Kluyveromyces lactis: one gene and its partners. The protein of the gene in region 2 interacts with the protein of the main gene of each other region in a pairwise test. Links are inferred from orthologs where the notes say so. Each region holds a gene or a part of one and is shown on either strand. Other genes may lie near its edges. The genes, in order: KLLA0_A03905g, KLLA0_C17380g and PEA2.

Region 1 (2,519 bases), on a different chromosome or scaffold from region 2:
ATGCGATATGGATTAGTCATGGAAGCCTGGCATTAACAGTAGCTTCTGTGCTTTTTCTTTCCTTTTTGATACATGCTATTTAGACCGGGACATTTGCATGTGCATTTCTGTTGATCATATATGTTTACCTTAAAAAATCTAGCAGATAAACTTATTCTTCTCAGAACTATAGCATTAATTTGGCCATGCTTCATCATTTTTCTGACATGAATAGAAATGCATTTCATTCCCGTCTACCACTATGTGGTTATATACTGGTAAAGAAAATGTACCTAATACTCAAATTTGTATAAACATATAAATATATAATTCTTTGAAAAGGCTTTTACAATATTATAATCGACGTTACTGGTAATTTTATGACGGTATAGCTTGATTAATATATGTAAATGGTGATTGGTGATTCAACTATCATTATTTGGATCCATAAAAATTACAAGGGTATTATATACTCGGGGGATATTATATGTGAATCATTGAAATTGAAAAGGTAGCTGACTTTACTCTGCTTGTTCTTGGACAGCAACAAATTGAGTAACCAACTCGACGATTCTTCTTGTTATTGGGAGGTTCAACCATGCAGGAATGTATGCTTCGATCTTACCGAAAGCTCTTACTTCAACCTTTTGATATGGGTCCTCGAATGGGCCATTATCAACTGGTAGGAAAACATCATTGTTCCCAACTTCAGCTTTAGATGTATCATTCTTCACTTTCTCAGCCACATATTGCAAGATTTCCGGAGCAATTGGCTCCTCATAGTCTGCGACAGAATATTGAGTAATAAGCTGCTTCAATTGGATAGGTTTTAGGCAGTTACAGATGTCCCAGATGATATCAATATCGGCAACAATACGCTTTTTTAGCTGTAGTAACTTTGCCGCTTGGAGAATATGTTGAAGACATACACTTACTTCAGAAATGTGGTGGCTTTTACACCATTCTTCGATTCTTGTGACATTATAATTTAATTGCAAACCACGTTTCCACGATAAGAAATTCTTTCTTAGAATCAAATCATTAAAGCATAAAGCATCCAGTAATTTTAATAGGTTCGTGATAACGTCTTCAAAGACTTCCATTTCAATATCGTACGACTTCATTGCCCAATAAATATTGTTGAAAAATGTTAAAACATCATCCATTTTATAGGTTGAGCTGTTCTGTAAGAATTTCTGGAGGAACTGAGATGGTTCAGGAACAACAAACCCTGGTAGTGACTGTGAAACAACAACTGCTGGAACGGCAATTTTTTCAAGGTTTTTACGTAGCTTCTTCATCCATAGATTGTAGACGTTAAAGCTCAAAGCTTCGAAATCATCCTTTAGTTCCTTAACAAGGTTGACATAACGATTGTATTCTTCTTCATTCATGCCACTATTGTACGTTTCATCGGTAGTTATCGACTCATATGCATATACTACAAAAGAATGTAGTTCTCTGACGTTAGTATACCAGAAAGCACCATGTTCAATCATAACATCGGGCTTTAAATTAGAGATTATCTTTTGTATGGCATCTAAAACTTCAGCTAAGAAAGTTTCACTTTGCGAGGTTAAACCCAATCTCCACATATCACTTAGAATAATAATAAGAACCCTTGATGGATACAAAACTTCTTTTCTTGTCAAGTTCACAGAGACACCAGTTGGAGGAACTTTGCCACCCTTCAAGAGTCCCTCGATGATTTCAGTATTGAGGGATCTCGAATCTTCGAACATTTTGTATAGCTCATCATTAATTTGAGACATTAACGCTGAAACATCTTCAGTATTGAAGTTATTGTTTATGGAAACAACATTCAATTGTTTTGGAGAAGAGCCATCATTCAAAGTACTATTTGCCGAGAAGCGCCTGTTTTTTACCGGAGTAGCGTTGATGCCTCCTCCTACATATACACCAGAGCGCATAGAGGACTGTAAACGTGCAACTTCCTCCTTTAAAGAAAAAACTTCTTTTTTTAGATCGGCGTTTTCTGATTGAGATGTTAGAAGCTCATCTCTCGCGGATGTTAATTCTTCCAAAGTGGATGCAATTTCATCTTTCAAGTTCTTCTGCTTGTTGAGAAGTTCGTCAACTTCTGCCTTTGCAGAGATGATTTCTTCTTTTGCAGCAATCAATTGGTCGTTAACCTTTCCGTATTCTTCTTCGTGTATACTCTTTTGGTCGGCCAATGCCTTGGTATGACCTTCCTTTTCTTCCTCCAAAGAGCTTTTAATGTTTTCAGATTCGTTTAGAGATTTTTGCAAGTTTTCCAAACGTGAAACAAGTTCCTTATTTTCCTTTACCTTAGAAGCAAGAGATTCCGTCAATTCAATGACCTTGTTTTCAAGTTTATAACTGACTTCCTGTAGGTGATTAACGGATTTGGCTTCCGATTTTAGTTGTTTTAACTTTCTTTGAGCATAGTGCTTTCTAATGAAAGATTGGATGACCACGGTGCCCTTCTTCTCATGTAGGAAACTTTTTCTTGGTTGGAAAGATCTTACGCTCTTTTGAATCGTAACAGCGGCATCGCC
Region 2 (3,766 bases):
CGTGAATACAGCCATTTTCTCCGGTATGGGATATTTCGGAGCTGCATTTTTCCTATGGATGATTCGTGGGTATCTAATAGCTCGTGACAAGCTCGCCATGGTTGCAAAGACAGGTCACGACGATGGTGAATTGCATTTACACGTCACGATTCCGGAACTCTTGAAAGGTCTACTGACAATCGGACGACTACCAAGAAAAGTTTGATGTATATAATAGAAAAAGATATACTAAAACAAAACCTAATAATATGCATGTATATTCTAGTATAATTCAATGCTATACTATAATTGCTCACACTCATTGTTGCAATGCTTTCGTAAGTGCGATGCTTAGCATACATTTTGCCCAAATCACCAAGGTATTGGTATCCGAAGAGTTGTATTTCCAACAGAAATCGCTGCTTTAGCTCAGTTGGGAGAGCGTATGACTGAAGTTCATAAGGTCCTGTGTTCGATCCACAGAAGCAGCATTTCTTTTTTATTTTTTTTATCGATTCTCTTTTCTTCTCATCACGTGAAAGAAAACGCCAAACTTTCAATAAAATTACGCGTTATCACGAAGAACGAGGTGTAGTAAGAACGCTTTTTTTCTTTTGGCTGAAAAAACGATGAGTTCTTAGGTATGGAAATTGAAATATTGGAATTAGAATCTTGTTTCAATTCGAATTAAACAGTGGATTAACTCTTCTTCATGAAAGAAAGTCAATTGTATAGAATCAAGTATTCATCATTACGAAATAAGTGCGAGTTGTTGTGAATCAGCGGTAGCGGTTTGGTAAAGACGATACAAGTCTTAAAAGGAGAAGGCCGTCAATTATTTAAACTTGGGAAAGTATCGAATTGAGTTATTTACAGACACACTGGTTTCTTCGATTTCACTTCCCTTTTTTGACCATTATACTTGAAACGAGTGTCCTCAGTGACAATTGCAATTGACATTAATACGTGTTCTTAATTGACCATTGTTTGATAATTTGTTTTCATTTTACCGTTCCAAATGAAAGAGGGTGCTAAGGAACTGAAATATGCACAAAAAGTGCAGATCCATAATTATTATGTTGCTTTAAAACAATTCTTTGAGGTTACCGGTGGTAGCCATGATAGATCAATGACATCGCGTGCTCAGAAAGCACGTTCAAAGCTGTTAAAACTTTCTTCGTCACAGTTTTTCGAGTTGAGTACTGACGTCAGCGACGAATTGCAAAGACGAATTGATGAATCACAGCCACAACATGACTATTTAGTTCCTAATGAAAGTTTCCATGCAAAGAGGAACCAGGCAAGACAAAAATTGGCGAACTTATCCAATGCGAGATTTAATGATTTGGTCGATGATATTCTTTTCGAAATCAGAAGACGTGGGTTTGACACGTTACCTGAACCAGAAGAAGCAGATTATCAGGAATTCCCAAATGCTGATACTGATGAAGATTTTAATTCGAATGACAAGGCAGAGGTCTCCTCTCCTGCATTACACGTACTTGATTCTAAGCCATCGCCAATTGTACCTAGCAGTATAAATAATACGTCGGTGGAAAAATTACCAGAAGATGAGAATTCTGCACTTAATGCAACTTTGCAGACTTCTACAGTCATTCCAAAGACAGCATCAATCGACTGGAGTTCAGATGAAGAGGATCACAAACCAGAAGCTGATGAGAAGGAATTAGCTAGTGAAGACAATGACGTTATTAAGATAGATAGAGCGTTTTCACTAAATCAGTCCCCGGTCATTATTCCAGATGAAACACAAAGCCCACCTCAACCTACAGCTTCCTCACCTGTGGGAAATAGAAGTCCGATTTCCATAGATGACCATTTCACGTTCTCAGAGAGACCGTTATCACAATCCAGTGAGGCTAGAACTCCATTGGCTCAAACTGCTGCCACTACAGCAATGGCTGCAAGTGCTGGGTTGTCGCCTTTCACCAGTAATAAAAATAAAATGGGATCCTTGTCTCAATCGGTAGAACGTAACAAAGATCGTGATATAGAGCTATTAGTTCTGGAAGGGAATAAGTTGGACAGTACCATTACAACTTTGGAGAGAGAAAAATCAGAACTTTTGAATCAATTAGATGAATTGAAGACCAATAATCAACGATTAACAGAAGAAGTTCAGCAATTGAAACAGAATGCCGACCAATCAAGTACTACTAAAGCTCTAGATAGTAATTTCCAAAAGGGAATGTCCGAAATGACTACTCAACTAAATCAACTGTCAATAGAAAACGAAGAACTCAAACAAGAAAAACTAGAACTTCAGCTGCAATTGAAAAATATACAGTCTCCAGTTAAATCGATTGACGGTAAATCAGGGAAGGATGCTGCCTATTGGAAATCAAAGTATGAAGACGCTTTTGCTGAAAAACCTGTCAGAACAAGCTCTTCTTCTATGGCCCCCATTTCAAACAAGCAACTTTTCCCTGAAACTAGTATAATACCGTCAAATCTCATCGACGACTTGGATTCCAAGTTATCACAAATACTAAGCCTCATTGTGTCACCTGAACCTCCAGTTTTGTTTTTATTCGAGAACATTGCTTCCATTTCAGAATATTGTTCAAAAATTTTAACTTTAGTTCACTCCCCAGATACAAAGACCATGAGACTAGTGTTAGAGAACACAATATCACATGCTATCACATCTGTGCGTTACTTCAGCAGCTATAAAACTCCATTATCAAGAGTTATTCTTGAAAATTCTGTTTCAGAAATCTCATTTGCAATCTATGATTTGGTTAAGACGGTAAATGGCGGATCCAATAACGATGAAATATTCACATCAAATAAATCTGGTGATCAACTGGATAGTCCACTTGGCCTCTCCATGCAAAATAGACAAACCTCGAATAACTTTGCTAAAGGTTTACACGAGGGAAGTGTTTTAGACAAACCATCACTTCTTCCTTCTCGGGCTGATAGCGTTGAAATGTCTCCGGTCAAACCTTTGAAAATTACCCAGAAAAAAAATACCGACGACGCGTCATCAAGGCCTGTTTCAGTTAGAAAGCCCTCTGGAACTGGCTTATTTACAGCAATGCTTAATGGGGGTATGAAGAAAGATAACGCATCAAAGAAATCCAAGAATATATTGCAGTTAGAATTACCTCTGGATAACAATTCCAAATCGGAAAGCAATGCTCCTATAATCGAACGCAGAGAATTGAAGACCATTGATGCAATTAAGTCTGCTTCAGCCAGCAATTCACTTCTACCTACTTCGCCACTTGCCAAAAAATCATCAGCAGTTGTTCCTTCTGACTTTAAAGACCCAAATCCTTTTGAGTTATCATCTCCAGAAAAGGGAAAGCTATTGCAAAATATTAATTCTGACATATACAACAGCAATGATGAAGAAACTGAAAGCGAAAGTGTAGAGGAGGAGGACGATGGGAATTCTACATATGAAGTGTTAAGACAAACCATGAAGCAAAAGCATCTACAAGAAGAAAACGGAACCAACGAAGAAAAAAATTTGAAAGGAATTTTTTCGCCAGTGGTACATCCACAACCTATTGAAGTTTCAACAGAGGATGTCGACTTAAATGAGAAGTCATTCAATTTTGAATCTGAAGAAAATGCTAAATCTGAATCTGAATCTGTACCTTCGATAACTGTAAACAAAAAGAATATAAAACTCGTTCCTATCCCTGCCGTTACTCCAACTTTGAAACAAAAAGAGCCATCCCCATCACCTACTGCCGAATTGGTTATTTCTCCATTAAGGCCTATAGTAACTGCTTCTGATAATTCAAAAGTTAAT
Region 3 (2,953 bases), on a different chromosome or scaffold from region 2:
AAACCTGCACCACGCGGGGAAAGAGACCAAGTATCCACATCCTCTGGATCCGACCACAATAAATCACACATAGCACCTTCATGCGGTACCTCCTTTTTCCTATCGATGGTTCGTATTTCGTTGATTGATAAAACGTCCGGCGATAATCCACCATGAACACAGAAAACCTTGTTGTTTACAATGGCACCCAAGGGCAAATAGTCGAATACTTCGCAACAGTATCTCCATACGTTACTGTTACCATATTTCCTTACCACTTCGTCGTAAAACCCATAAACCTTCGTAATCTGTCTTGTTTCATGATTTCCTCGTATCAACACAATTCTATCTGGATACCTTAATTTATAACATACCAAAAGAAGGAAACTCTCTAACGAATAGAACCCTCTATCCACGAAATCTCCCAAAAAGATGTATCTATTCTTTTCAATGCCTCCACTCTTAGCAAAGAGAGTCAACAAATCATGCAATTGGCCATGAATATCTCCACAAATTGTGACTGGCGTATCCACATGTGTCACGTTAGACTCATTCATAAGAAGTTCTTGAGCCATGACACACAGCGAGTATATCGAATCCTCGTCAACATGTTTCCCCTGCCTTAGAGTCTCTATAATCTCATCGAGTTTCATCATTGACAGATGCTCAGACGACGTTAAAGTTAAAACCAACTGGAAGTATAAAAGATAAAAAAAAGTGATTCCCTGTTCAAGAACTGACGATATTATTCTATAGTGATGAGTTTGGATCAAATCCAACAAAAACCTACCTTAAACTAATCTAACAAAGGTAAACTGAATAGTCATCATTAACAATATAGGCTTAAAAGCTTCTTTACTTTCTTATTTTCCAAAATTCGATGAGATAGACAAAATGCAAGTATCAAGAGAAATAAAAGTATCAAGTATCAAAAGAGGTAACAACAATTACATTTTTCGGTTAGCCTGAAAAGTCAACTTGTCGGTCTGCGCTTTCCGGTATGTCTACAGTATATAGCGTAGTGTGGAATGCTTGCCTGTGTTGTATATGGGAATTGTTCAGAATCTTGCTTCTTCTTCTTCTTCTCCTTCCATTGTTTCTTTTTTTTTGCCTGTACTCTTTTTTCACGTTTCTTTTTATCAGTTTGCTTCCTTTTTTGTGTTTCGGCCACAAAAACGATAATTTAACGTGACATGCGGGTAATGAGGTGTGCTTATGTAAGCCTTCGGAAGATGACACCCAGACATCGGAATGGCGGTATTCGTGCGTGGTGATGTCAAATATCACGTGGTTGATAATGTGCTTGTATTACCCGGAAACTGCATGTATGTCCCGTGCGTGGTAATTGAGAAAGGCATTGATCGGAATCAACGCGTCTGGATAGATGAACGGAATGTTAAAATGTAAGTTGCTACCAAACCAAGCTAGATACTGATCGCAGCTAGCCCCTTGATAGAATGCTTCGTAATAACCTGGACCAATGGTACGAGTACAATACCTCTTTTGTAGAGAAATTGCATGGGAAGTACCCCAATGAACAGTTGAATGAATATTTGCAAACTACGAGTACGAATTCCCTGATATCCAATAGACAAAATTCGGAGTGGGATGAGCTTCCAATGGATTTGGATTCCCAATTGAAATTGGAATTTGCATTGTACTTGATTAATGAATCTGCTAACGGTTCTCTAAGTACTAAGGGAACTACTTTCTTACAAAAGCTTGGCTCGGTAGACGTTGACACGTTGAAAGAATTAGTCCAATTGGTACTAGAGAATGATAAATCTTTAGCCAATAAAAGCACTGATGAGGATGAGGGGAAAGTGGAACAGATCACCTCCTACCTGATCTCTAGCTCCATTTCTAAAGGTATCAATTTGGCATCAATAGACAATTCTTCCAACGAGGAGGGTGTACATGATCCAATCTCATTTTGTAAGAAAAACATCGACATCCTGTTGGATGCATACCCACAGAATTCAAGCAGTTCTTTGCAACACGCGCCCCTTTCTACCTCAGAATTGGAACTTAACGATATCTCAAAACAACAGGACCTACAAACGGCTATCACGGATTTACAACTTGCATACAAGTTCTTGAAATCGAAATATGAAAATGATAGAGATGAATACCAGGCGACTATAGAAACTCTGAACAAGACTAACAAAGAGCTTTCTGAAGAGCTCTTACACTATCATAGTAAGTTGAAGGAGCGCGAGGAGAAATCGAAAGTCACTTCACAGATGCAATCAATTCCAATGGATATCGATAGATCCTTCTCACAAGCAATTTCCGAATCCAGTGACATCAAATCCTCAACATCTGCTTCTAACCATCAATCTTTCTCAATGATGAAGCAAGAATTTAAACGAATCTTAGCTGATACTCAGTTAAGATACGAAAAAGAACTAGAACAAGAACGCCTGTTGAGACAACAGTTGGAGAACAAGTTGGAAAATAAAGGATACCGCTAATCGTTTTATGTTGCCCTTAACGATCCAAAAATACTAGCATTAAACTTCAATATATTGTTGAAATGTAATTAACTTTGTAACATTATCTAAGACAGAATTCCTCATCCATTTCAAACTCAAGCTGGAAACCATTTACCGATGGCTATTAGTCGTTAAATTTGTGTATGAACTATATGATACATAGAGTAAGGTGCCAATAATAAAGACTTCTATTATAGCAGAATGGATATGAAAAGACAATAAGGAAGGAAAGATAGAAGGAACAAAGGGTTTTCTTGCAGAAGACGAGACAAAACCTCCGAGAATCGAATTAGTGCATTGTTTAATAAAATAAAAAAATGAATTTTTATAGTACCATCCAATAAAACATCATAGCTTCCTGAATTCACTCAACACAGGGTAGATAGCTTCAAACGCTTGATAGATTTCTTCTCTTTGTTTGGCACCAGTTAAGACAATCTTGCCGGAAACGAAAATTAGTAACACAATCTTAGGTTTCA

Evidence for each region.
Region 1: the proteins of KLLA0_C17380g (region 2) and KLLA0_A03905g interact in a protein complementation assay, tested with the Saccharomyces cerevisiae proteins (2 studies listed by BioGRID). The link is inferred for Kluyveromyces lactis from reciprocal best matches to the Saccharomyces cerevisiae genes SPA2 and MYO2.
Region 3: the proteins of KLLA0_C17380g (region 2) and PEA2 interact in a protein complementation assay, tested with the Saccharomyces cerevisiae proteins (3 studies listed by BioGRID, with this or other methods). The link is inferred for Kluyveromyces lactis from reciprocal best matches to the Saccharomyces cerevisiae genes SPA2 and PEA2.

The regions. Positions count from the first base shown.
Region 1 is NC_006037.1:345,318-347,836, forward strand, and holds the end of KLLA0_A03905g (myosin family protein), read right to left. Parts: coding exon 501-2,519; downstream 1-500. UniProt on the Saccharomyces cerevisiae protein: Myosin heavy chain that is required for the cell cycle-regulated transport of various organelles and proteins for their segregation.
Region 2 is NC_006039.1:1,523,719-1,527,484, forward strand, and holds the start of KLLA0_C17380g (uncharacterized protein), read left to right. Parts: upstream 1-997; coding exon 998-3,766. Other genes in the region: KLLA0_C17336g (MCT family MFS transporter), read left to right, coding at 1-205. UniProt on the Saccharomyces cerevisiae protein: Involved in pheromone-induced morphogenesis and efficient mating, perhaps as a cytoskeletal protein.
Region 3 is NC_006041.1:890,449-893,401, forward strand, and holds PEA2 (Pea2p), read left to right. Parts: upstream 1-1,436; coding exon 1,437-2,453; downstream 2,454-2,953. Other genes in the region: phosphoprotein phosphatase PP4 catalytic subunit PPH3, read right to left, coding at 1-635; SPT15 (TATA-binding protein), read right to left, coding at 2,823-2,953. UniProt on the Saccharomyces cerevisiae protein: Localized to sites of polarized growth and is required for efficient mating and bipolar budding.